Xenopus tropicalis: one gene and its partners. The protein of the gene in region 1 interacts with the protein of each later gene in a pairwise test. Links are inferred from orthologs where the notes say so. Each region holds a gene or a part of one and is shown on either strand. Other genes may lie near its edges.

The links.
Region 2: the proteins of tfip11 (region 1) and ccdc151 interact in binary tests that used the Homo sapiens proteins (3 or more experiments, as listed by UniProt). The two-hybrid records come from large-scale screens. The link is inferred for Xenopus tropicalis from reciprocal best matches to the Homo sapiens genes TFIP11 and ODAD3.
Region 3: the proteins of tfip11 (region 1) and smarce1 interact in binary tests that used the Homo sapiens proteins (3 or more experiments, as listed by UniProt). The two-hybrid records come from large-scale screens. The link is inferred for Xenopus tropicalis from reciprocal best matches to the Homo sapiens genes TFIP11 and SMARCE1.
Region 4: the proteins of tfip11 (region 1) and leng1 interact in binary tests that used the Homo sapiens proteins (3 or more experiments, as listed by UniProt). The link is inferred for Xenopus tropicalis from reciprocal best matches to the Homo sapiens genes TFIP11 and LENG1.
Region 5: the proteins of tfip11 (region 1) and tnnt1 interact in binary tests that used the Homo sapiens proteins (3 or more experiments, as listed by UniProt). The two-hybrid records come from large-scale screens. The link is inferred for Xenopus tropicalis from reciprocal best matches to the Homo sapiens genes TFIP11 and TNNT1.
Region 6: the proteins of tfip11 (region 1) and sh2d4a interact in binary tests that used the Homo sapiens proteins (3 or more experiments, as listed by UniProt). The two-hybrid records come from large-scale screens. The link is inferred for Xenopus tropicalis from reciprocal best matches to the Homo sapiens genes TFIP11 and SH2D4A.
Region 7: the proteins of tfip11 (region 1) and imp3 interact in binary tests that used the Homo sapiens proteins (3 or more experiments, as listed by UniProt). The two-hybrid records come from large-scale screens. The link is inferred for Xenopus tropicalis from reciprocal best matches to the Homo sapiens genes TFIP11 and IMP3.

What each region holds. Positions count from the first base shown.
Region 1 is NC_030680.2:15,107,828-15,112,004, reverse strand, and holds the start of tfip11 (tuftelin-interacting protein 11), read right to left. Parts: upstream 2,801-4,177; 5' UTR 2,689-2,800; intron 2,515-2,688; exon of another isoform or gene 2,217-2,514; intron 1,351-2,216; 5' UTR 1,346-1,350; coding exon 1,146-1,345; intron 1,028-1,145; coding exon 877-1,027; intron 325-876; coding exon 168-324; intron 1-167. UniProt on the Homo sapiens protein: Involved in pre-mRNA splicing, specifically in spliceosome disassembly during late-stage splicing events. Intron turnover seems to proceed through reactions in two lariat-intron associated complexes termed Intron Large (IL) and Intron Small (IS).
Region 2 is NC_030679.2:139,191,730-139,195,229, forward strand, and holds part of ccdc151 (coiled-coil domain-containing protein 151), read right to left. Parts: coding exon 3,466-3,500; intron 2,732-3,465; coding exon 2,575-2,731; intron 1,545-2,574; coding exon 1,389-1,544; intron 1,126-1,388; coding exon 1,041-1,125; intron 1-1,040. UniProt on the Homo sapiens protein: Component of the outer dynein arm-docking complex (ODA-DC) that mediates outer dynein arms (ODA) binding onto the doublet microtubule. Involved in mediating assembly of both ODAs and their axonemal docking complex onto ciliary microtubules.
Region 3 is NC_030686.2:8,337,395-8,340,894, reverse strand, and holds part of smarce1 (SWI/SNF-related matrix-associated actin-dependent regulator of chromatin subfamily E member 1), read right to left. Parts: intron 2,553-3,500; coding exon 2,448-2,552; intron 1-2,447. UniProt on the Homo sapiens protein: Involved in transcriptional activation and repression of select genes by chromatin remodeling (alteration of DNA-nucleosome topology).
Region 4 is NC_030683.2:104,890,826-104,894,258, forward strand, and holds leng1 (leukocyte receptor cluster member 1), read left to right. Parts: upstream 1-1,302; 5' UTR 1,303-1,335; coding exon 1,336-1,467; intron 1,468-1,820; coding exon 1,821-2,006; intron 2,007-2,140; coding exon 2,141-2,397; intron 2,398-2,657; coding exon 2,658-2,865; 3' UTR 2,866-2,933; downstream 2,934-3,433.
Region 5 is NC_030683.2:104,578,815-104,583,013, reverse strand, and holds the start of tnnt1 (troponin T, slow skeletal muscle), read right to left. Parts: upstream 2,801-4,199; 5' UTR 2,690-2,800; intron 1-2,689. UniProt on the Homo sapiens protein: Troponin T is the tropomyosin-binding subunit of troponin, the thin filament regulatory complex which confers calcium-sensitivity to striated muscle actomyosin ATPase activity.
Region 6 is NC_030677.2:96,324,914-96,328,977, forward strand, and holds the start of sh2d4a (SH2 domain-containing protein 4A), read right to left. Parts: upstream 2,801-4,064; 5' UTR 2,678-2,800; intron 2,628-2,677; exon of another isoform or gene 2,545-2,627; intron 1-2,544. UniProt on the Homo sapiens protein: Inhibits estrogen-induced cell proliferation by competing with PLCG for binding to ESR1, blocking the effect of estrogen on PLCG and repressing estrogen-induced proliferation. May play a role in T-cell development and function.
Region 7 is NC_030680.2:118,013,675-118,017,783, reverse strand, and holds the start of imp3 (U3 small nucleolar ribonucleoprotein protein IMP3), read right to left. Parts: upstream 2,801-4,109; 5' UTR 2,637-2,800; coding exon 2,500-2,636; intron 895-2,499; coding exon 787-894; intron 1-786. UniProt on the Homo sapiens protein: Component of the 60-80S U3 small nucleolar ribonucleoprotein (U3 snoRNP). Required for the early cleavages during pre-18S ribosomal RNA processing. Part of the small subunit (SSU) processome, first precursor of the small eukaryotic ribosomal subunit.

The DNA of each region.
Region 1 (4,177 bases):
AAGTTTTCTTATCCTTTAAAGAATATCCTGGCTATAAAATACATTTTTCTCACATACTTACAGTCAGATTATAATAAAAGCTACTATTGCACGTTTCCATCTGAGAATAGCCCCTGCCTCAGTAGAGCTTCTAATTTAACCTCACTGGCCAAAGAACCCAGTTATACCTTGAGCATTCTTTCCCAGGCCTCTTCCTTGCACATAACCCATCTTCTGAAGAAGTTTCTGGCCGATTCCCTTGGTATGCCGCTCCCAAGAACCAAAATCTGTGTTTGACTTTATTCCTCCAGCAAATGTCCTCTGTGATGGTTTGAAATTACCACCCTGTAAAATACACAAACTGAAACTGACTGAAGCTTTGGAATGAAACAATGAATATAGTGTGTCTTTCTTACAATAATAGTTCTCTCTCTTATAAATGGATGGTTCGTCCTTAAGTTAATTTTAAGTAGGTTATAGAAGAGCAAGTTCGTAGCAACTTTTCAATTGGTCCTCATTTTTTTTAAAGAGGGTCACTGACCCCGGCAGCAAGAAACTATTGCTCTGTGAGGCTACAATTACGCTGTTATTACTTTTTTTTTTTTTTTTTTAAACTTATCTTTCTATTCAGACCCACTCCTGCTATTATTCCAGTCTCTCATTTGAACCACTGACTGGTTGCTAGGTTATGTTGGTTCATAGCAACCATATAACTGTTAGAATTCCAAACTGGAAAAGTGCTGAATATAAAGCTAAATAATAATAAAAAAAAAAAGAAGACCAACTGCAAATTGTTTTAGAATAGCAACCAAAAGTTGGTTTAAAGAAGAACACCCCTTTTAACCCTGTCAGACTATTACTATTGGGAAGTACAAACACTCCTTAGACTCATCCTACCGTCCTTAGCTTCTTTGCCTCAAAATCCTTTGGGAAAGTTTCCCTCCTTGCTTGCGTTTCACTGTCGGAATCGCTATCAGATTTTTCTTCTGCAGCAGGCTTACGGATCCCAGCGCTGATAAAATTGACAGGGGCCGAGTAGTCTCGAGACCTATGAAGAAATAAAATGAAAGGTGTCCGTATTGGGTGGTGCTGTATCATTAACTGCACGCAAGAAGGTGACTATTACTATTGAGTGACCCCTCCTACCAATCTAAAGACCCACCAACCTTTTCCCCCCAAAGCTTGGCCTCTCATCATCAGAGTCCCGCTCTGCCCACATCCCATAGGTCGCCTCCTCTTTTGTTTGGAAATGCTTTCTGCGGTTGGGGTTAAACTCATTCTGTAGGTCCCAGTCCGTGATCTCAAAGTTCTCCATTTCCACTCCATCGCTGTCCTCATCTTTGCCATAAAGGTGCGACATAGACATGGTGCCTGAGAGAGGGAAACAATATTTAACAATATATAAGTTGTTGTGTTTTATAGAATGGCCAATTCTAAGCAACTTTTCAATTGGTCTGCATTATTTATTTGTTATAGTTTATTAAATATTTGCCTTCTCCTTCCAACTTTTTAGGGCTCTGGCACACGGGGAGATTAGTCGCCCGCGACAAAACTCCCTGTTCGCGGGCGACTAATCTCCCCGAGTCACCGGTGGGATGGCACACGCGGCAGCACGATTTCGGGAAATCGACGAAAAAGCCTTGCGAGGCAACTTCAGTGATTTCCCGAAATCGCGCCGCTGCGTGTGCCATCCCACCGGCGACTTACATTGTCGCCGGTGGGATGGCAACTGGCGGCAACTCGGGGAGATTAGTCGCCCGCGAACAGGGAGTTTTGTTGCGGGCGACTAATCTCCCTGTGTGCCAGAGCCCTTAAATGGGGGTCAGTGACCCTGGCAGCCAGAAATCTATCGCTCTGTGAGGCTACAGTTTTATTGTTACTTTTTGTAACTTTAATTTTCTATTAAGGCCTTCTCCTATTCATATACCAGTCTCTTGTCCAAACCACTCCCTGGCTGCTAAAGTAACTTGGCCCTAGCAACCAAATAGCTGGTGAAACTCCAAACTGGAGAACTTCTGAACTGAAAATAAAATAACTAAAACACTACAAATAAAAAAATGAAGACCAATTGCAAATTGTCTCAGAATATCACTCTCTACATCAAACTAAAAGATAACTCAAAGGTGCCCAACCCCTTTATGGCTATACAGGGTTGTGCCTTGGGGCCCCCCAAAACATTCCATGTCCTTTTCCTTGGATTTAGGTAAAAAAAAAAAAAGACAAGTGATAGAAATAACCTTGAACAGTATATGTCCAGTCGGCTGCGTTCCCCCTCCTGATTGGCCAGAATGGCTCAGTAGCCACAGCCAACCAGAGAAGTACTACTACTTACAGTGACCCATAAGGGGTTAAAGAGGGCCATGCTGAAGTGAGTGATGGGAGAGGAATGGGGCATGGAGTGAGTAAATGGCATGCTATGGAACTGGATGCATTACCCAGATACAATGCAGCAATCAATGTAACAGCATTTAGTAAGGGACAATAATCACAGGTCAGGATTTAAACTACAACTCCCATAATCCCCTCAAACAGTTATGGGGAAGAAACTAATAGCGCAGCCATTGACACCAGACAGGTACACATGGCCATTCCGCTCCTGTGCGGGAACCAGACACCCCGTATTCACTGAGCAGCCCCGGCTTAGTTATACCAAACACAAACAAGTGGGGCTAAATGCTAAAATAAGCTTCCATGAGGCGTCATAGTTACCGATATTCCAGTTCCAGGTACCTGAGCCCCGGGTTCCACAGGCTGCAGTAATGTACGCGGCACACTTCCGGTCACGCCTACACAATGACGCGTACGGGACGCGACACCGGAAGTAGGGTTCTACAAGCGTGGGGTTGTGTCAGAATCAGACTGGCAGGATTGGAATAGGGGCTACGGGCTAGGGGCTTGGTTGCTAGGGGCTTGGTTGCTAGGGGCTTGGTTGCTAGGGGCTAGTTTAATATGCAAGCAAGTGGGGTTCTGCAAGCTTGGGGTTGTGTAATAATCAGACGGGCAGGATTGGAATGCTAGGTGCTTGGTTACTAGGGGCTAGGGGGTTTGGTTACTAGGGGCTAGGGGCTTGGTTACTAGGGGCTAGGGGCTTGGTTACTAGGGGCTAGGGGCTTGGTTACTGGGGGCTTGGTTGCTAGGGGCTTGGTTACTAGGGGCTAGTTTAATAAGCAAGCAAGTGGGGTTCCGTAAGCTTGGGGTTGTGTAATAATCAGACGGGCAGGATTGGAATGCTAGGGGCTAGGTGCTTGGTTACTAGGGGCTAGGGGCTTGGTTACTAGGGGCTTGGTTACTAGGGGCTAGTTAAATAAGCAAGCAAGTGGGGTTCTGCAAGCTTGGGGTTGTGTAATAATCAGACGGGCAGGATTGGAATGCTAGGGGCTTGGTTACTAGGGGCTAGGGGGCTTGGTTACTAGGGGCTTGGTTGCTAGGGGCTTGGTTACTAGGGGCTTGGTTACTAGGGGCTTGGTTACTAGGGGCTAGTTTAATAAGCAAGCAAGTGGGGTTCTGCAAGCTTGGGGTTGTGTAATAATCAGACGGGCAGGATTGGAATGCTAGGGGCTAGGTGCTTGGTTACTAGGGGCTAGGGGGTTTGGTTACTAGGGGCTTGGTTACTGGGGGCTTGGTTACTAGGGGCTAATTTAATAAGCAAGCAAGTGGGGTTCTGCAAGCTTGGGGTTGTGTAATAATCAGACGGGCAGGATTGGAATGCTAGGGGCTAGGTGCTTGGTTACTAGGGGCTAGGGGGTTTGGTTACTAGGGGCTTGGTTACTAGGGGCTTGGTTACTGGGGGCTTGGTTACTAGGGGCTAGTTTAATAAGCAAGCAAGTGGGGTTCTGCAAGCTTGGGGTTGTGTAATAATCAGACGGGCAGGATTGGAATGCTAGGGGCTAGGTGCTTGGTTACTAGGGGCTAGGGGGTTTGGTTACTAGGGGCTAGGGGGGTTGGTTACTAGGGGCTAGGGACTTGGTTGCTAGGGGCTTGGTTACTAGGGGCTAGTTTAATAAGCAAGCAAGTGGGGTTCTGCAAGCTTGGGGTTGTGTAATAATCAGACGGGCAGGATTGGAATGCTAGGGGCTAGGGGCTTGGTTACTAGGGGCTAGGGGCTTGGTTACTAGGGGCTAGTTTAATATGCAAGCAAGTGGGGTTCTGCAAGCTTGGGGTTGTGTAATAATCAGATGGGCAGGATTGGAATGCTAGG
Region 2 (3,500 bases), on another chromosome or scaffold:
GCTATCAGCCTCCCTGTCCCCTGTACCAACCATGCAGCTATCAGCCTCCCTGTTCCATGTACCAGCCATGCAGCTATCAGCCTCCCTGTCCTCTGTACCAACCATGCAGCTATCAGCCTCCCTGTCCCCTGTACCAACCATACAGCTATCGGCCTCCCTGTCCCCTGTACCAACCATGCAGCTATCAGCCTCCCTGTCCCCTGTACCAGCCATGCAGCTATCAGCCTCCCTGTCCCCTGTACCAACCATGCAGCTATCAGCCTCCCTGTTCCATGTACCAACCATGCAGCTATCAGCCTCCCTGCCCTTTGTACCAACCATGCAGCTATCAGCCTCCCTGTCCCCTGTACCAACCATGCAGCTATCAGCCTCCATGTCCCCTGTACCAGCCATGCAGCTATCAGCCTCCCTGTCCCCTGTACCAACCATGCAGCTATCAGCCTCCCTGTTCCATGTACCAACCATGCAGCTATCAGCCTCCCTGTTCCCTGTACGAACCATGCAGCTATCAGCCTCCCTGTCCCCTGTACCAACAATACAGCTATCAGCCTCCCTGTTCCATGTAACAGCCATGCAGCTATCAGCCTCCCTGTTCCCTGTACCAACCATGCAGCTATCAGCCTCCCTGTCCCCTGTACCAGTTCTGCCACTATCAGATTTCCGGTCTCTTGTACCAGCTATGTGTCAGTCTTCCAGATCCCCTATACCTGTAGCTATCAGACTTCTCACTGCCTGTTCCAATCCTACACTAATCCAACCATGCAGCAATTCCTACCCATATACCTATGCCGAACCCTCTGCCCATTTATTCTCAATTACTATCAAATCAGCCCTAAAAAGTGAAAGTAAATGTCTGTTCACCCTCTTGCACACATGGTATAACCGAATCAGTGAAAGAAACACACACATGGATATCAAGAACATTTTGTACAGACTGCTTTTTTTTTTTTTAAATTGGTTCGCTACTACCCCTCCCAGCTACCCAACCATGTGCTTTGTAATGGTTTTGTATTGCTAAAGTTAGTGCCAGGAACACTTACCTTCAAACATGTCCTGCTTGGATGGAGCTGGAAGGGAAATTCGTATGTTGTGCGCTGGCAGTTTGCCCTCAATGCTTGCCTGGAACTGAGAATATTGGGATTATAATATAGCGCATAAATGAATGCAAATCTATGCCCCTTTAGGCGCACTCCCAGCATCAAACAGTTAAGTACCAGCCATGGTACTCTCCCCCTTCATGATGCACAAAGCCATTAGAAATCACCAAAATCAATAGGAGTAATGTTCATTCCTTACCTACACATAGGGCGCATTACTCATGCAAGGTGCAAAAAACACAGGCCCAGTGGGCTGTGCGCTTCAGAACCATTACTTTCTCTTTTACTCACCTCTTCTTCATCCATTTGTTTGATAATCTGTCCCAGATCCTGCCCCTCCAGCTCTTCCAGAAGCTTCTGCAACTTCTCCTCAGTGATGCCCATTAGGTCAAGGACTTGCTCATCTGACAATGGAGAACCATCCAGAGCAGGAAAATAGACCTTTGGCTAAAATGGTGAAGAGATTAATCATAATATGGTTGTACTGTGCAGCCAAGAATGATACCCAGCTCCCCACGAGAGTCCTGGGAATCTGCTCCGAGGATGCTCTTGGGCCTAAAACTAACTTTGACTTTTAGTACAGGCTGTCTCCAGGAATTTAGCACTACCAAGGAAGCAGGCCCAGACTGCCAATCTGTGGGTTCAGGCAAATGCCAGAGGGGCTGCTGTAAGGTGCCATAGACACTCACTATTTATTGGGCCTATGGGGGGCTGTTTGGGCCTCTGTGTACTGAAAATCAGGCCCAGACTGGCAATCTGTGGGTTCAGGCAAATGCCAGAGGGGCTGCTGTAAGATGCCATAGACAGTCACTATTCATTGGGCCTATGGGGGGCTGTTTGGGCCTCTGTGTACTGAAAATCAGGCCCAGACTGGCAATCTGTGGGTTCAGGCAAATGCCAGAGGGGCTGCTGTAAGATGCCATAGACAGTCACTATTTATTGGGCCTATGGGGGGCTGTTTGGGCCTCTGTGTACTGAAAATCAGGCCCAGACTGGCAATCTGTGGGTTCAGGCAAATGCCAGAGGGGCTGCTCTAAGGTGCCATAGACACTCACTATTTATCGGGCTGGTTTGGGCCTAACTGAACTTAAAATACCAGGTCCTATTTTAAATCCCAGTCCAGGTCTGCAAGGAGGCTAACCAGCCTCCGATTTGGAAAACTTTAAAAAAATTCATAGGTTGTGAAAAAAATTGTCAGTAGTCCACAGCTGTAAGGTCATGTGAGTCTAAAAGGTTCTGACTCTGGCTAAAGAGTTTGGGTCCTGGAATATGCAAAGAGTGCCGAGAATTCTGGAATAAACCGGGAGCTCAATGCATCCCTAAAAATTTCCCCTGGCACCAGTCAGCCATTCCACTTTCTGTTGGCCGCTTTCCCAGGCTGTTCAGGAAAACCTGCAGCTCTCAGCAATGTACACTGTAGGATGGCAGCCAATCAGCACTGAATACATTTCCTGTATTGCATCAACCTAGTACTCACCACCTTGATGTGCTTGACTTTGCTTGCTAGATGTTCCACTCCAGCTTTGGTCTCATTCAGAATTTTGGACATTTGTTCTAGTTCCTCTTTGGTTTTCTCACACCTTTTCTCTTCTTTCTGGAGGTGACTCTGCAGCTCTTCCAGATCCTGCTGCCCTCTATTATGGAACAAAGTAAATGATGAGAGATATTATGTGGCTCTAGGCATTACAGTTAGGGTGAAGACACACGGAGCTAATTAGTAGCAGCTACTTGTCACGGCTACTAAATGCTGGAAAATCCCCTGCCATAGACAATACTGAGAATTGCCTCTGCTAAAACACACAAAGAGACAATTATCAGTAAATTATCAGCATTGTCTTTTTTTGTAGCCTTGACAAGTAGCTGCTACTGGTAGCTCTGTGTGTCTTCACCCTTAAGGTGGCCATACACATAGGCCTTATATTAACAACAGACCCCAGTCAGCCACTCCAGACCAATTCAGCAGCCATACACGTAGCAATAACGATCGTTCCTACCCTCCACTGACGTTCAGGGCTGAATTGTCAGATATGGAGGTAAAAACAATAGAAATTCTACCTCCACCTGCCAATTCAGTCCTGAAAATTTTGCTTGGGCGCCTTCAATGGTGCAATCTGGGCAATCACAGGGGTGGGCATATTGGGAACAGGTCCGCTCCATTGGTGACCTTGTGCTCTTTACATGTATGGCCAGCACATATGGCTAAATATAGAACATAGTTCCCTCTGTTCAGGATGATGGCCCAAACAAGCATTAAGTGAGATGGTTCTACAGCTCTGCTAGCAAACCTTTCTGCAGATGCAATGATGTGACTGAGGATTTCCATGACCACATAAGACCACTCTCAGTGGTCACAAGGAAACATATATACCTGGACAATTTGGCTTCCCCAGAGTACTTCTGGTT
Region 3 (3,500 bases), on another chromosome or scaffold:
ATAAACAGTGGTGTTGCCTTTCAATCATGGGGGATCTATTTTCTCAGACTCTCCTGTAAAATTCCACAATTCCCACAATGCAATTTGAATAATTCATGTCACGGACAAAACACCGCAGTAAATATACGGCAACAGCATTGCCTTTGCTAGAGAAATCCATAACTGGATCCCCTTTAGCTTCCAAACCAAAAAATACAAGTCATACAATACAACTTGAGAGCTTCTTGCACAATGTAAATAATACATATAATGCAGAATTAAAGAAATAGTCTTAACGTGGCCATACATGTGTCGACCACTGCCACTCCCAGATGAAATGTTCAAACCTGCCCCATAGCTGAACTGATAGATACCTACAGTAAATGTATAGCAGTCTAATGGCCACATTATTCCTAAAAGGAATCCATGTTTCTCTAATGAAGAATTTCCCAATCTTCCATAGGCTCACAGTGTAATACAACCCCCCCCCTTACCTTCTACTGTAAAGTGATGAGATTCTGGGACTTTATGTAGCTTTTATAGTGGGTGATGAAGAAATATCTCTAGGAAGTAGAGGGACTCAAGTCTCAGAATTCATCACTTCATAATGGAACATGGTGAGGGAGGTATTTACACACTGAGGGGGCTATTGGTCTTAAAGAGCACTGAGACAGACTATCATGGTTCCTTTTCAATCTGTGGAATCAGGTATGTCTGTCTAAAGTTCATATAACTGTTGTGCGCTTTTTTCTTTTAAAAATAAAAGCCTGAATCATGTCTAATGAAACGGTAAATAGTCCTGTAACAGACGGGGAGATCAGTCGCCGTGCAACAAATCTCCCTTGTCGCGGGTGACTAATCTCCCTGAAATGCCATCCCACCAGCTAGAATGTAAATCGCCGGTGGCATGGGTAATGCGGCATGGCGTTTTGCCAAAATTGCCTTGATAGGAAACTTTGCCGATTTCGGCACCGCGTTTGCCATCCCACCCCTAGCCGGTGGGATGGCATTTCAGGGAGATTTGTCCCACGGTGACTAATCTCCCCGTCTGTCACAGGCCTTTTACGGAAAAAAACCCCACACCATTAGCACTGATGCTTCACAGCGCAAATGTCCTGGATTAAAATCCAAAAAAAAAAAAAAAAATATACAAAATGAGTAAAACTTTCACACTCCAGATTTAGATCTTAATTAATGTACAGAGCTATGTAGCTTGCCGGCGCTATATAAATACATGTCTTTCACTGAAAATAAACAGATGGCTTGTCAGAGGCTGAACTGTGCAGATAGTAATTATGGTAGGATGCAGAGACCCCTTTGATTCTTCATAACATAATTCTGTACATATAAATCAAGGCCTGTAGCCTCAAGGTTGCATTGCGGATCCTATTAATGGCCAGAAGCAAAAACCAGTTGAACCGACTCATAGGATAATGGCAAATTTAGAGGCTAGCATAGTCAATTTGTTTGAAACTCTGCCAGTGTGCATGCAGGGTAATTCTCTATATCCCCCAAAATAATGACAATGTGCCCAAACATGATGGCACTACGGAAAGTGCACACATTACCAGACTTACTAGCATGCTCCAAATTTGGTGAAATATAGGTAAGAAGGTGGCCCTTAACATGAAGTGCTGGCTACCAGCTATAAAATGCCTATGTAAGTATTGCCCTACTGAGTAAGGCTAATGCCAGACGAGGCGCAGGGCAGATATTTTCGGCAAGCAGAAAAGCACTTGCCGAAAATACCACACTACTCCTCCTACATGTGCCTGCACCCGAATGAATGGAATACGCTCGGGTGCAGGCACATGTAGCCGAAATATGAATAAAAACACGAGACTTTCAAACTCTTGCGTTTTTATGTGTATTTCCTGCACCTGAGTGTATTCCATTCATTCGGGTGCAGGCACATGTAGGAGGCGTAGGGCAGAATTTTCGGAAATCGTTTTTCCGCTTGCAGAAAATATCCGCCCTACGCCTCGTCTGGCATTAGCCTAAAACTTAAGGCTTGTGAACAGCATGTAAATCACCAACCCCAGTAAATATGGCTCACAAAATTATTTGTAGGTGCCCTTAAGGCACAGCAGGAATTAACCCTGCCAGAAAGCCAAAAACTAAAATGCACAGCTAATCAGAGGTAACCAGCTCCTTTACAAACCAGTACAGCAATTAGCTGGGGCTGGAGTGAAGGGCAATGGCATTCAATGCATAGACCTTAAGTTTAAATGTAATAAACATTCATGCAATATGATTATTTACAGCCCCTAGGCAACATAACCTTTAACTTCAGAACAATCTTATGTTAGTATAATCTACAAAGTGAAAATACTGTGCAAACATGGATAAATGCAATGCATTCATTTTTTAGGCACAAATAGCCACTACTGGGTTAAATATCACCCCCCCAAACACCAGCTTTAGCTGTGCAGAAACGCCAAGAGTGACGTATCTGTTCATTCTCCTACCGTTACCCTGCTGTTGCTGCCTGCGTTCCCTCCCAGCCTGTAGTTGTTGTAGGCAAGATGGCTGTATGGATTGTATCCCACAAACCCTGGTGTGCTGGGCATTTGCTGATGGAAACAAATGAGACAAAAAACACAAATGAGAAATGAGCTCAAACTAGTGGGAAAAATTCTATATTAAAAAATAAATAAATTCTGGAGATAAAATAAATAGAACACAAATGAATGTGATAAGCGTATGGCATGTAAAAGCAGCTGGGACCTTCAAAGGTGAATGTACAATATTCCGAGGGTTAAAAGGAAATTTAATCAAATTTATTGGTGTCAGACTTTAAAGGAGAAGGAAAGGTAAAAACTCAGTAAGCTTTATCAGAAAGGTCTATGTAAATGCAGCCATAAGCACTCACAGAAACGCTGCACTGACTTCTTGTGTCTGTAATTCATGTGCCAGAGACATGCAGCTCTCTGCTTTCTCCTCTCTCCTGCTTCCCCCTCCCTCAAGAATGCTAAGAGCTCACCCCCCCCCCAAGGAATGTGGATCTGAGCCAATCAGCAGGAAGCTTCCTCATAATCTAACTGAGCATGTACACTTGGTCTCGGTGAAGGAGTGAGGAGTGAGGCATTATGGGAACTTTCTTTACACAGCTCAGCATTTTTTCTTCCTGTTTGGCTTCTGATCATCTGAACAGGTGAAATATGGGGAGACTTAAGGGCACCATTGAGACAACTGAAGGTATGCCTGCGGCTTGAGATTAACTCTTTACTAGCCTTTCCTTCTCCTTTAAGGAACCACAATGAATTTGTACATATACAGGCCTGGCTGGGGGCTTGGGCCTACAGCCTGCTCAGAGGCTGCCTAGATTTCTTCGATATCATTTTAATATAACCTGGCCTGACAGAAAATCAGTACAGTAGGTTGGTGTGAGCACTTCATTTCTGCAGCTGTAAAATACACTACCAATATTAATTGTAAGAGTGCCATATTGACTAGTGGCCTTTCCCAACCACGTTTAAGCTTAAAAGATCAGGTTGTACTTAATGAATCGTGCAGAGTAA
Region 4 (3,433 bases), on another chromosome or scaffold:
CAGCCACTGGCCCTGGAGATTTGGGGAAAGGTTTTGGAAATGTTTCAATATTGCTTTAAGAATACAACCCCTGATGTTACTGGACTACAGCTCACCCTTCATTATATGTTAAATTGTTCTGGGATTTGTAGTCCAGGAACAACTGAGTAAAGTTTGGTTGAGCAGTGCTGCAGGCTTTAGTGTACCTTTAAACCAGGGGTCCCCAACCTTTTTTACTCATAAGCCACAGTCAAACGTAAAAAGACTTGGAGAGCAACACAAGCACCATAAAAGTTCATGGAGGAGCCAAATAAGTGCTGTGATTGGCTATTAGGCAGCCTCTATGCACACTATCAGCTTACAGGAGGCTTTATTTGGTAGTAAATCTTGTTTTTATTCAACAAAAACTTGACAACAAGTCAGGAATTCAAAAATAACTACCTGGTTTGGGGGCACTGAGAGCAACATCCACGGGGTTGGGGAGCAACATGGTTGGAGATCACTGCTTTAAACCCTCCCATCATCCACAGTTTAGGAACAAAAAAGAAGTGGAACCCTTGTGCCACTGCCATTGTTTCTTATTTGAACTCCTTCCTTCCTAAAATGGTGCAGGAGTAGGAAGTCTTGTCCCAAATCAGCCCTTGTTTTGTCCATTAATTGCAAACAATCTGGTTTCCACAGTCTGCACATCAGACGCTTATTCCTGCCCCGGCACTGTGGATATAAAAAAAGAAAAATCAATTCACAGCCTACAATTAAGTGCTTGGTAAGTATGAATGGTGCCTACAGTAGCTCTTAGTTCTCTTGTTTGCACAAATATACTAGCATTCTCCCATGCCATGAAAAAAATCCTAAAAACTCAAGATTAGTTTTGGTTTATTTCATCCATTTTAATTCTTCTAAATTAGCCCTTGTTTTAAACTGTTTCTACATTTCTCCCATCCCTAGTTTCCCCTCTTTCCTTTCTGGTCAAATTGAGAAAATTATTTTATTTGTTCCCTGGCCCAAGCTAAAACTAAACAAAGCAAAAAAAAATGTTTTTTTTAAATGAAAATCATAAAGACTGGGAACGCAGTGACTTTTCCCTGTCAGAAGTAGGCGCTACAAGCAAAGACAATTACAATAGCAAGCGGACTCAAGTGACATGCCACAACCAACAGCTTATCCTTATGTGACACGGACGTACTCCCGCCCCCAAAGGTTCGTACGTACCACGCCCCCGCGCTTACGTTATGCGGCGTGACGCAACGATCTCGCGAGATGAGATTTGTGACGTCTGGATTTGTGTCCGGAAGGAATCACGGAGTTGAAAGTTAAAGCAGGATTATTTGGTGGAATTGTGACAGGACAGTTGCCATGAATATCCTGCCTAAGAAGAGCTGGCATGTGCGTAATAAGGATAACGTGGCCCGCGTTAGGAAGGACGAGGCACAGGCTGCGGAAGAGGAGCGAGTGCGTAGGAAACGGGTGGAACTCGCAGAACAAGAGGTGAGAGTAGCGCTGCAGTGAAACTATAGACCCCGGCTCTAAAGGCACACTAGGCCTTATATACTACAGAGGCAAAAATGTGCATGTTGCACACAGAGAGCGATTGCGCCTGTTTCTTGCATCAAGCTCACATTGCGCATATCTCTGTAAAGGCGCGGAATGGTATACCGTTTGACACTGGCCTTGTGGTCAAATGTTCTCCATGGGGCAGTGGTTCAACTGTAATACTCTTGGCATCTCCAGTAGATCTACATTATTCTTTGGTACTCAGTCATGGAGACACTGCTGCCAGAGGGTGCCAGGTACATTAGACGGAAGGTGTCTTGGTTGCACATGTGTGTTTGCCGTTTCAGGCTCGGACAGATTTCCTGCGTAAGAAGGCTCGTCTCTCCTTGCCAGAAGAGTACAGGAGTGATGGGACTTCCTCGGTGGAACTCACCAAGGATTCTGGCCACATCAACTTTTTTCAAGAAGTGGAGGAGGGCAAAGGAACAAACAAAGGCAACAAAGAATATGAAGAGGAGAAACGTAAAGAAAAGGTCTGTTATTTTACTTTACTGCAGGAGAGGCTGTGTGTTTTGACAACTTTTCCCTTACTGTATTTTAAATTATTTGTATTTAACTTGATTTCTTAGGTGGGTTTTGCTTTGTTTTTTATGGATAATTTACACAGGAGCGGCAAGAAAAAACCCTGGGCATTCTTACATATTTAGGACAAAGTGCTGCAGAAGCCCAAACCAGTCGCCCATGGTACCAGGAAGTCCCTGGTCGCCACTGTAAGGCCGAAGATGGCAACGCAAAGGATGAAAAGGTGAAAAACCTGTTAGATCCTTTACATGACATGGAGAAATACTTGCAGAAGAAATCTGGAGAAAAGAAGAAATTTAAAGAAGAAAAGCAAAACAAACATAAATCCAGGCAAGAAAGCAGGTAGGTTAGACAAAATTGGAATTTGCTGCTAGTCTACAGGTATTCCTGCTGCTTTAATTAGAAGCCCATGGATCCCAGTGCTCAATTAAATCCACTGCCTTTGTCTCTCTAGTTCTTTTGTTCTGTGCTGAATGAGCTAACTCACAATGTAAATATTTGGCAGAAGTAGTAATGTAGGCAATGTCTCCAGCCTCTAGAAAGTTTGGTCTTGGTAGGAGTGTGCTGCATGATTTAGAGTGATTTGTTTCTTTGTCTTGTAGACCCACCAAGCCATCAATAGAGCAACTAAGGCAGGAACGTCTCAAGAGAGAGGCAGCAGAGAGAGCTCGGGCTGAAGCCTTGCTATCAGGGAGAAAGGAGTCTGCAGAACCAGAACAAGAAATGGATGACCGAACACGCCGTTACAATTCTCAGTTCAACCCACAGCTGGCACGAAAACCTAAAATGCGAGAAGAGCCACAGCGGTGATGTTAAAGAAACTAATGGCAATATTTCTACATCTCATAGCTCTGATAATAAAATGTATATATTTCCAAGTTGCTGTAGAATGTCCTAATGCACTTGGGTTAATGGACCACAAGCCCCTACAAAATGCCAGACGTCTGCACTGAGTAGCAGGACAGGAGAGGATTACCCATTTTTAAACCACACAGGTGTGATAGAAAGTAAATTCTACATAGGTTGTACAGCAGTGCTTACATACACCAAGGCTTTTTCTTGGTTGCAATTATATAAAACTGGATTCCTGTAATTGGTGCTCTACTTTATACCAGGCAGAAAAATCATTCTAGAACAGGAGTTTTCCTTATGCCTGTTTCTACATGAGATTAAAGAAAATGTTGTTTGATACAAGGAAGATTAATCATGAAACAAAAGCACTGGGGAAAAACATGAAGTGTCAGGTTATTGCCAAAACAGTCACATAATTTGGATTGTGAACTACACAGGGATAGAGAGGTCTGGCATGTTTAGTGATTACTGTCTTTTCAACAATGAAATCTCTCAAACATAAGTATACATTTTCAGAAATATGCTT
Region 5 (4,199 bases), on another chromosome or scaffold:
GGTGCGTAGCAGGAACAAGATGGAATCAGCACGTACCATTTTATATCAGTGCTGTGGCTGTCAGCAGTGCTGTGAGTTGTGCTGAAGGGCCAAAAGTTGGACAATCCAACATTACTGTATATAAAACCTGGGCCCCTCCACAATTAAAGATGGTTGCAACTAGATCATTAATGCAAGATGCTTAAGGGCTTCAGTGAACTCAGTCCTGGCAGAGACGCACTGTGCATATTTGTGTGAGTATTGAAAGGAGAATATATCAGATTTAGAAGTAAGGTTTATTTTCAGTTTGCACAGATGAATGTGAGGGTATAGCAGTTCTAATTTTTACCCACAGTGGGAACTCTGAAACTTGGAGGTGGTTGTAGCTCCAGGGATCCCCTGCCTCAATACACACACTTGCATGTGATTTGGCACAGGAGGTGGGAACAGCGCACTAGTAGAAGTATAGATGCAAGTCCAGGAATCTGACTCCTTATCCAGAAGCCCATTATCCAGAGAGTTCTGAATTACGGAAAGGCCATCTCCCATAGACTCCATTTAAATTAAATAATTCAAATTTTTTAAAAATAATTTTCTGTAATAATAAAACAGAACCTTGTACTTGATCCCAACTAAGATATAATTAATCCTTATTGGAGCCAAAACAATCCTATTGGGTTTAATTACTGTTTAAATATTTTTTTTGGCAGACTTAAGGTAGGCGATCCAAATTACGGAAAGACCCCTTATCCGGAAAACCCCAGGTCCCAAGCATTCTGTATAATAGGTCCCATACCTGTACCTATAATAAATGGCATCAGTTCACACAATGACTTCATACAAAAGCAGTTGCTGTTAAACTACAACCCTCTGAATCACCTTTGCCATCATTGAACAGTGAGATGTGTACTTCTGCATCAACTTAAGGGTTGCAGGTTTGGCAATACTGAAATACAGTGTCTATCTTGCTCTATTATCACCATGTGGCTCTACTGTTGCGGTATTACCCTGTTACCCCACCAACATCCTATATCTAACTAATGCTCTGCAATGCCCAGGGCAGTTCCTCCTATTAGCAACTCCCAAACAACAGCTGTGCAAGTAATTCATATATTATGTACTGTTTCCCTGTACTAGTAAAAGTTGTGCATTTGCTACAGAAATCCTACTATAGTTAAAGGAACAGTAACACCAAAAAATGAAAGAGTTTTAAAGTAAATTAAATATAATGTACTGTTGGCTTACACTGGTAAAAGTTGTGTGTTTGCTACAGTAACTCTACTATAGGTTATATATAATGAGCTGCTGTGTAGCCCCGGGGGCAGCCATTCAAGCTGGAAAAAAGGAGAAGAGGCACAGGTTACATAGCAGATAACGGATAAGCTCTGTAGAATACAATAGTGTTTTATCTGTTATCTGCTATGTGCCTGTGCCTTTTCTCCTTTGAATGGCTGCCCCCATGGCTACACAGCTGCATTCTTTATATAAACCATAGTAGTGTTTCTGAGGCAAACACACCAGTTGTACCAGTGCAGGGCAGCAGCACATTATATTGGAATTTCTTTTATACACTTGAATTTTTTGGTGTTACTGTTCCTTTAATATAAACAAAACTGCTGTGTAGCCATGGGGGCAGCTATTCAACCTTTAAAAGGAGAAAAGGCACAGGTTACATAGCAGAAAACCAATAAGCTGTGTAGATTCCAATTGTATGTTACAGTGTTTATCTGTTATCTACTATGTAACCTGTGTGTTATCCTTTTTTTCAGCTAAAATAGCTGCCCCCATGGTTACACAGCAGCTGATTTATAGAAACTATATTAGGGTTTCTAAAGCAAACACACAAGTTTTACCAGTGCAGGGCAACAGTACATTACAGTAAGTAAAGTAAGGAGGAGTAATCCACAAAATATAAAGAGAAATGTAAGTGATGAAGAATAATGACTAAAATTAATGTAAAACAAACCCAATTACAGAGGTAGTTAGCCTTTTAACTTTTAGTATGAGGCATAATGAGACAGTTTGCAATTGGTCTTCATTTTTCAGATTTTGTGTTTTTTTTAATTATTTAGCTTTTTAATCAATAGCACTCCAGTCACGTTCTACTTTCTGGTCCGCAGAGTCAAACAGATCAGCAGTCCAGCAGGTATGTTCAGCACAATCTCTATTCACTGAGCCAGTGTTAAACAAAGGGGTTGCGTGTCCCTTTAAATTGGAAAACGGAAAGAAGTAGTAATAGTGCTATAAGGTGGTTTATATAACAGTGAATGGGAGACAGTAGGGATGGGTTTGGGCAAAAAAAACCCCTAAAGCTGCTAAATTATTTTTTAAAACTGCAGTTGTCAATTGTCAATGTCCAAGAGTATTCTCCTTGGCAGGAATAGTACATATATAAGCATAATCATGCAGTATGCTGGGAATAAAAAGGCTGGCTCTTTAGGGGAGTAAAAGGCTTGAAAGGAACATATAGGCTCTGGAACATTCTCCTTTTGTTCATAGTGTTACAGTGAGCTCAAACCAAATGTAGCCAGAAAGAGAAATGCAAAAATCACAATATACAAAAATAATTCTCTGCACAGAAAAACTAATTATATTGACAGACTAAGACATGCTAAATAAAAATATGGGATGAGTGATTCAGTTAATCAGTTCTATATATATGTGCCTTGCCTTTTCCCTAATACTAAGCATGATGTTCCAGCTCACTTACCTGGAGCCCTTGTCAGCGTGAGAGGCGTCGGAGGTTATGATTGGAGTGACAGACAAATGGCTTTTTCAAATGCCCTTTGTAGTGGGGCTGTCCCAAGCATGTGGTGGACGTTTTCTTTTAGAAACCAGACCCCACCGTCTGGCCCTGATCATATTGTATTGGGCAGGGGGCTGGGGAGGAGGGGGGGATTATCCAACTTCAATAAAAGGAAAAGGGAGAGGAACAGCAATCACCCTATGGAATATTTTTCTGTCCTCACATGTGCATTAAATTAGCACATACACACACACACACACACATATATATATACATATATCTATCTATCTATATATATTTGCAATTGTATGGTAAGTCTTTCAAGCACTTATTGATAATATACTACAGGTGTGGGATCCCTTATCCGGAAACCCATTATACAGAAAGCTTTGAATTACGAAAAAGCATGTCTCCCATAGACTCCATTTTAATCAAATAATTTTAAAACTGATTTCCTTTTTCTCTGTAGTAATAAAAGATATAAATAATCCTTATTGTATGCAAAACAATCCTATTGGGTTTAATTAATGTTTTATTGTTTTTTTTTAGTAGACTTAAGGTATGGAGATTGAAATTACAGAAAGACCTCTTATCTGGAATACCCTTGGTCCCGCACATTCTGGATAAGGGGTCCTATACCTGTATCATAAAAATATTTAGGAATCCTATATGGGTTAGCACTTGTTGGGCTCATATTAATATAAAATGAACAGTGTTTCATTTAAGGCTAATAGCACACGAAGAGCATTGACTCCCATACGCTCCTTGCTATAACTGTACTGACTGGCACTGCCTCGGCCTGTGTATATATTGTAACTATAAAGTGCCTGTGGTTTATTTTTTAACACAGGTGTATACTGCCCCTTTAAGCAGTTTGATTGAGCCAGAGGAGAGAGTGCCCTCTAGTTGAAGAAATAAGCTGCAAATAATAGCTGCGATCAATAATAGATGTGCAATCTCGGCATGTGTGTATGGCACAGATTATCTTTTCCAAAGTGTGGGAGGGAGCCTAAAAGATTTTGCCCAATGGTCTGGTAACATCTGCTTTTGTCATTTATTGTATTGCTTTGCTTGATGCACACACAGCATATACACAAACACTTGCAGTTTGGCATTTTACAGTTTTTCACTCCCCAGATATTAAAGGGGAAATCAACCCAAGCACAGATTAAGCTCTTTGAAAAGTAAACATAATTTCAAGCAACATTATAGCAATTAACAATTACAACAATTAAAAATATGCAGCCTTTTCATAATTTTTAATGTAATAATATGGTTTGGAACAGTTACCTAAGCCTAGCCCCCTGTTCTCCTGCTGGTCTGGCTGACTATAAGTCTAAAAGAAAATGTAACAGTAGCTGACTGCTCTCAGCCTGCATCCTCCAAATCCCACAATCCCGTGCACACGGGTTGTCAATAAGGAATAGAACATTGCAGTGCAATGCATTGTGGGGTATGTAGTTCCTGCATGCTA
Region 6 (4,064 bases), on another chromosome or scaffold:
CTACTGCTACTGGAAGAGAAATATTTCATATAATAGCCTGCTCTTTTTTTTTCTTTCTTTATTACAGCATGAATGGGGACTATGTAAAATACAGGTGTAGTATTTGAAAAGGATTTGCAATCGAAATGTGTATTTGTAAATGAAAATAGTATGTAGAACACTGTATTGTTTAAAACAGTGTTGTTTTGGGGGAAAATGTCATACTCCTTAAACTGCGAAGTTGTAGAGGAAAGTTTGTACCAGACCCAGAAATGCAGAACAGCTGGTCAACTGTTTACCTGTTAGAATGCTAACATCTGACTTGTTATAGTTCAATAAAAAAGTCAATACCTTGTTCGAAATAGGAACAAAGCACTGCAAGATTAGGCATAGGCCCTACCCTGGCTGTCACGTCTTCACACTGACTAGGAATACCTCTGCCTATGGCTGACCGAGACCGAGACTAGGGGGCATTTCCAGGTGGTGCCCTACATTCAGTCAGCTTCCCACATTACATTAAAGGGGTTTTTAAACCATTAAAATGTTGTGTAATTAAAGAAAAATGATGTTCCATTATATATTAATTGCAAATTTGCTGTTTTTCAAGTGTATTGTAAATGTTATTGAATAAAGTGTCTGCCTCTTGCTGTTCTCTTCACTGCTGCTTCTGACAATTGAAACAGTATAGCCCTCTTCAAGCTGTGGCTTCATTTCCCACAATTCTTTGAACATGCTGTTCACTGTGTGATAGGGAATATTATTTCAGTTGTACATGTAGTCAGAAACAGAAGAGACTACAAAGGGGCAGAAAGATGCTGCTTTCAATAGCACATACATTCATAAGTAATCTTAAAACAACCAAAAGTGTGTAATTATGGTATACTGGCAAGTTGCAAAACTTTGCATTTTTAGTTTAAAGTTACTTTAAGGGTGTAGACACACAGAGCTACTAGTTGCAGCTACTTGTCACAGTTACAGAAATAGACAATACCTATCATCCACCAATAAGCGTCTCTACATGTGTTTCAGCGGAGGCAATTCTCAGTATTGTCTATGACTGGGTATTTTCTGGTGTTTAGTAGCCGCAGGACACGCTGCTACCATAAGGCGGGTTGAGAAACTTGCCTCAGGCGGCAGTGCCCCCAAAGTTATCAGGGGCAGCAAAAAGCTGCTCCTGGTAACTTTAAGAGCCGAATTTCTGAGTTTTAAACTGGAAATTCGGCTATGCCAGTGCAGAGCGCACAATTGCACTTTCCACACTAGCGATGCGGCCCCCCTGGACCCCATTCGGTGCTGTGAAGGTAAGCATGGGGTTCCAAGGGGGGGGGGGGCGGCACCGGTGGTGCTCGGGTGGCCCAGGGGCCAAAAACCCCCCTGAGTAGCCATGACAAGTAGCTGCTACTTGTAGCTCTGTGTGTCCACTTGTCAAGTGGAATTACCAGTTTTTTTTTTCTGCAATGGCTTGCTAAAATCAACAAAGCAATCAACAGGTGACAGAATCCAACAGGATTGTCAATAGCAGTTCCCTACACATTTAACATTCCTAATGAATTCCATCACCAAGCTCCTGACATAATGATGGCATCATTCATGCACAGCCTAAACTATTTTGATGTAACAAATCTGACAGTGGAATGCTGGGACTGTATCTGCACAAGTGCAGAAGCTTGCCAATGCTTCCACTGGGCTGGATGACCTTGATATGGCTTCTACCTTTACAGGGAAGCACAAACACATCTTATGTATCCATTTCATAAAATAACCCTGAGAAAGTTGCTAAAGGTATACAAATGTTGCAGAAAGCCACAAAACTTTTAAATAAACATGTAAACGGCATTATTAACATGGCTTTAAAGCGCTGATTGTTGTAAGCCAATGCATATACTGTATATGCTTTGTTTGTTTGTTTTTTTAATCATAGGGCTACTTTTATGCGATGCACCAAGCCAGGTATGAAACAGCTGGTCACATGACAAGTGGCAATTAGGGGAGAATCAGGCTCATTAACACGTGCATAATTACCGGTTTTAACGCCTTCAATGTTACATGCCGGTTTGCCACATGACTGTGACTCACAATGGAATAAAAGATGTGTTAATTGTTTTAGAATGATGCTATTTTCTCAACAGTGTGCATAATGATATTGCTGTATACTTTCACAACTGGTCTTTCCCTAAAACAAACCCGGCCGAGCTCCCAGCAGTTACTAAAGTATTTGTGGAAGGGATGGGTGGGGTGCCTGTAACAGCGCCTAGCACTGCGCGCATTGGCTCACTATATTATACAATAGAAATGTTTAACCCCCCAGAAAAACAATAGCTCTGCTTCCTCAACTTGCTTTTGGAAGCGTTTTGTGCAAGGCAACTAAAACGCTTTCACATTTCAAATCCATTTTTATCGACTTCTTCCAACAACTCCAGCGCAATGGTGCCACAAATATAGCGCCACCACCAAGGAAAACGTACCGAAAGCGCAAAGTGGCAACAGCAAATCTTATGCAGGAAGAAGTGCAAAGCGCACAGCAACCGCAAATTATCTGGGATGTGTTTGTTAATTCTGCCTTACCTGTGCGAGGTAAGGAACTGCCCTTGAAAGTCCCAATACACAAACTGTCAGTAAGGCGCTTTCTGTAGAACTGAACACACTCCTTGGAACAAGGAAACACAAAAGAGAAAGAATACAGATGTTTCATACATACCGGAATATGAGAGATCCCCAGGGAAACAGCACAATGACAATCCCGTCCCCGCACTTAAGGAAGTACAACTAAACCACAGTTTGTCTCTTGAGCTGGGGTGAAATCCGCACTACTATGTTTGCATAACTCCTCCCCCCCTGGCGCTGCTGCTGGATACTGGCCATTCTGTAGCTTTCCTAGAGGCTGCGTGTGAAGCGCCACCTAGTGTAATCTCTGAAAGAACTGGCAAGGACCACAATTATGGAACAGTATCATTTTGACGTCGTTTCTTATGACAGGAAAAGGTGATGTACCGTGTTAGCCAGTCAAAAAATGTTTATAGGGTAACCCTTTTGAAATAAAAAATAACAAAAGTGAAATAAAGGTGATACCTTTATTGGCTAACTAAGATAACCATAGCAAGCTTTCAGAACATTCTAGTTCCTGATTATCAGCTTGAAAAAGGAACTAGAACGTTCTGAAAGCTTGCTATGGTTATCTTAGTTAGCCAATAAAGGTATCACCTTTATACCACTTTTGTTATTTTTTATTTCAAAAGGGTTACCCTGTAAATGACAATAAGACTTGTGCTGGAGAGTCCTTTTCCATGATATATGTCATAGAGTTGTGTCTGAAGTAAACACAAAAATGTTTGGTTTTCAGACTGCTGGAGAAAATATTAGCGGGTAAGAGTACAAAATAGTAATATAGTAAGTTAAGTTGAAAAAAGACACACGTCCATTAATTTCAACCTTAATGCCTATATATAACCTGACTAACTGGGAGATCCAGAAAAAGGAAAAAAAAAACATCTGAAACCTCTCTAATTTCCTGCAGAGGGGAGAAAAAATCCTTCCTGACTCCAAGATGGCAATCGGACCTGTCCCTGGATTAATTTGTACTAAGAGCTATCTCCCATAACCCTGTTTTTCCTCACTTGCTAAAAAGCCATCCAAACCCTTCGTGAAGCTATATAATGTATAAGCCAGTATGACTTATTCAAGAAGGGAATTACACAACTACACAGCTCTCACAGTAAAAAAATATTTTCTGAATATTTAGATGGAATCACCTTTCTTCTAAACAGGGTGGGTGCCCTTGTGTCAGTTGCATGGACCTACTGGTAAATAAAGCATTAGATAGATTATTATATGACCCCTTTATAAATTTATATATAGTTATCATATCACTCTTTAAGCGCCTCTTCTCCAGTGTAAACAACCTAAACTTGGCCAGTCTTTCTTCATAACTGAGACTTTCCATACCCTTTACCAGCTTAGTTGCCTTTCTCTGTACCCTCTCTAATTCAATAATGTCCTGTTTGTGCACTGGAGACCATAACTGAATGGCATATTCTAGATGGGGCCTTACCAGCGCTCTGTAAAGGGGAAGAATAACCCCCTCCTCC
Region 7 (4,109 bases), about 100 Mb from region 1:
TAACAAATGCCAGATAAGGGAACTCTTACACCCAAGCCATACCTACCATCAGGTTGTGTTCCCAAAGAGTTGTGTTGGCCAGTATTGCAACACACAAACCAAAAAAAAGTTCAATGCACAATCCGAATAAATGTCTTAATTATTTAATTATCTTTTGTTTAATTATGTCTTGCCTGTCCTTGAGTGAAGTCTGTCCTTAATAAGAATAAACAATTCCAATTACAACATGTTTTTCAAAAAGAGAGAACATCAAATAAGAGGTAAAACCATGTGGAAGTTTGGCTTATCTTCCTACAGAATACAAGTTTATGGGGGGCACACCAAGAATAAAGGTGAACTAAAACTTAATATTTGAAGATGGCTTTCCCACCCTTGCACATTTTCCTTACCCGTTTTGAAAAAGTGCTGTATTTTTGACCTAGAGCAGCAAGCCAAATACAGATCTGACTGCCCAAGGAGCAACAGAGGTGGGGCTGCTTATTATACCTTATAGGTGCTTACGGTCATCCGACTGCCTAAATCATTCTGTAGGCATTTGGCCTGCATAAAAAAGTGGTCAATACACTCCAAACCGTTGTTCAAGAGCTAAATGCAAGTGCAAATTCAAAATATGTATGGTTCAAAATCTATACTTCATATACCTATTTAATAAAAATGACGCGACAAGATGTAGAGTGCTGGCAGCACCCACACAATGGAAAATAAATACCTATAAATGTATATAAAGGATATATTTAAATTTGCAGCCTATCCATTGGGGCTAATAAAACTTCATTTCATACTTACAGTTTCTCTAGGAGCTTTGCAGTACTTTGGACACGAAATTTATCTTTTTCATCCAGGTCTCTAATTTTTTGGGCAAGTTCTCGGATATTTCTACTGAGTTTGTTGTACCTACAGGACAAATGAATAGCAAGAATAAGTGAACTATTAGACCCCTATAGCCAACACAAAATAGGCACTGCAATAAAGGAAATATAAAGGAACAGTTATGAGCATGTTTCTTTGTTAAAGTTTGATGCAAACCTTGTTCATAAATAAACATGGTGACATTGCATAGAAATGCATACAGAAGACAACACTCTTTTAAGCATTCATGCATTATTTGATTACTAATCAAGCTTGCAGCAAGTACATTTCATATAAACCCACTATTTAAGGGATGAGGTTAACACTTCTAGTCTCTTGCCTGAAAAGTACTACATGCTCTTGATATTTTCCATCATCTAAGATCTCATTAGCACAAAATACTGGAATATGGTTTCTGATAGGATAAAACTTGGAAAGCAAGGTTAGGGTTAGAAGGGCCAAAAGGTCCTCTAAATAAAGAAATGTGGAGAAATGTCTTCTGAAAACAGAAGGTGTTCACATGCCTCACCTCAAGCTATACACGTAGCATTGCTCAAACTGTCAAAAAAGTGTGCATATCAATATGTTGAAAGAATGGCAAGTGCCATTCTGCTGGGCAGTGTGTATTAAATACCAACTTGCCCCATGCTATAGCCCTAAAGCCTAATGACACAAAGGACATTTACTGGGCTTTTGGCATCAAGCATTATTTTTACTGGTCAAGTGGCAAACCTACTTGTGGAAGCAAATGAATAATAGGGATCATGCATCATATAAGGCAGTGGTCCCCAACCAGTAGCTCAAGAACAACATGTTGCTCACCAACCCTTGATTGAAGAAGCTCCCAGGGCCTTAAAGGAGGTTCTTATTTTTTTTAACTCAAGGCTTGGAGTAAGTTTTGGTCTCCATAAAATCCACCTGTAGGCTGCCAGTTCACATAGGAGCAACCAAATAACCAATCACAGCCCTTATTTGGTATGCCCAGGTAAATTTGTCATGCTTGGGTTTCACTTTTTACACCTGAATGTGGCTCACAGGTAACAATGTTGGGGACCCCTGATATAAGATATTAAGTAATGTAAACACATGTCACACAACAGTATGCATCTGGGACCACTGAGATTTCAGTGAAAGTCAACATTTTCAGCCTCTGTAAGCAATGCAATATACCACTGTACAGCAACAGAATTAATCACCCCATCAATATATTTCATCAGCAGTGTTTCAATCTAAGGCACCATCACACTGATATTACTATATAAATATGTTACTATTAGAAAAATAAGGAACCCTTCTAATACAAAAAGCAATTTTCTATCCTTGAAGGATCTTCAATCTATTCTTGTATTTAAACACTGATTGCCATTAGACCAGCCTTGCTAATTACATTTTAAAAAGTGTCTCTGATTTGTCATGTGTTTCGGTCAGCATGTTTAATAAACATAACAAGACTGAGTTCAGCTGTTAACAAGAGCCTCTGCGTTCCCGGAAGTAGGCCATATTGTTGTCATGGTGAAAGTGTCATGGCTGCGCCCGTTTCACACGTGTACGAGAGGTATTTATACACTCTAATCGCCATTCTGTAAACAACATATCGGAATGAAACATAGCTGTAATGATTTCGCTTTGACATAGTTAGGCGACACTTACTTAGTATAGTCTTCTCGCTTATCCAAATGGTATTTTCGCAGCACTTTGACTTCATGGATGTTATTATCCACCTCCCAGTTAATAAAGTCTACCTTTTTCAGCAGCTTCTGCTCGTGATACTTTAACTTGCGAACCATTTCGCGTGAGTTACAAAGGCGAAGGAGAGAAGCAGGGCGGAAAGATACGTTTATGCTGCGGGCCCGGGGTACCGCTTGTTCCCCTCTGTGAGGCAGAAGCAGGGATCGGTACCGGAAAGCTCTGTGAGGTCACGGGTAGAGGGCGGGGCCTCCTTGGACAGCTGAGCGCATGCGTATTGCTGAGGCTTGATGGAGTTACTGTATACGCTGTACCATATCTCATACCGTTACTATTTCCCAGCTGTTAATGACAAGGGGTGGTTAATATCTTTCAACATCATTTCCAAGTACACTGTTGTAATATATGTACTGTTTTGAGCACCTAACAGTATATGACAAACCTAGACGTGCATGCTAAATTTTTTACAGATTTTAACTATATAACTGCATTTATTGCCACATTTTCAGTGACTACAGATGATAGAGTGAAACTATCAGTAAACAGATACTATGAACTAACAATGACTGGTCATAGTGCTGCTGCCCTACAAGCATATAAATAAATATGTGGCAATATACTGAAACACTTTTATTGTTATTAATACTTATTTATATAGCACCAGCATATTCTGCATTGCTGTATAATAGAAGGGCAGGATCAGACTGGAAAAAAACCCAGTGAGCCCTGCTAACCCAGACCCCCTATTGCAGCAAGGTTGCTATGAGGTATACCTGCATAGTGGGGGGGGGGGTTTGGGAGGATGGCAGGGGCCCCTAGAGGGAGTGGTGGGCCCCTGAAGTGGCAGCCCTGGTGGGCCCTGCACATTCCAGTTTGGCCCTGTGGAAGGGTGTGCATACATCTAACATATAGGGGCAGATTTATCAAAAGACGAGTTTCGAATCCCGAATGGGAAAAATTCAGATTGGAAACGCAAATTTCTGAAGATCGCAAATATCACGAAAATGCTTACGAAAAAATCGTATTTGTCACGATAATAACGTATTGGCGATCTGAAAGTCACAAAATTTTCGTACCGAACGATTGTAAACAGCGGGCAAACTGATCTGATTTTTTCGCGCTAAATATAGAAAATAGTCGCGCAAGGTACGAAAAAGTCGCGCAAGGTACGAAAAAGTTGCGGAAAATACAATTGAACGAACGCTCAGAGCATTCGTGGATAAGTAAATGTGCCCCATAGATTACATAAAACAAAAAATATATAACCAATATGAGAAGTAAAGAGATACCTGCTCAATAGAGCTTATGATCTAAAAGAGGAAGGGGGTATGAGAAACCAGGTGAAGGGACTTGTATGCAGTTCGTTAAGTCTACTAAAAAATCAAGAAAACATTTTTTAAACCCAATAGGCTTGTTTTGCATCCAATAAGAATTATTTATATCTTAGTTGGGATCAAGTACAAGGTACTGTTTTATTATTACAGAAAAAAAGGAAATCAGTTTTAAAATTCTGAATTATTTGATTAAAATTGAGTCTATGGGAGTTGGACTTTCCGTAATTTGGAGCTTTCTGG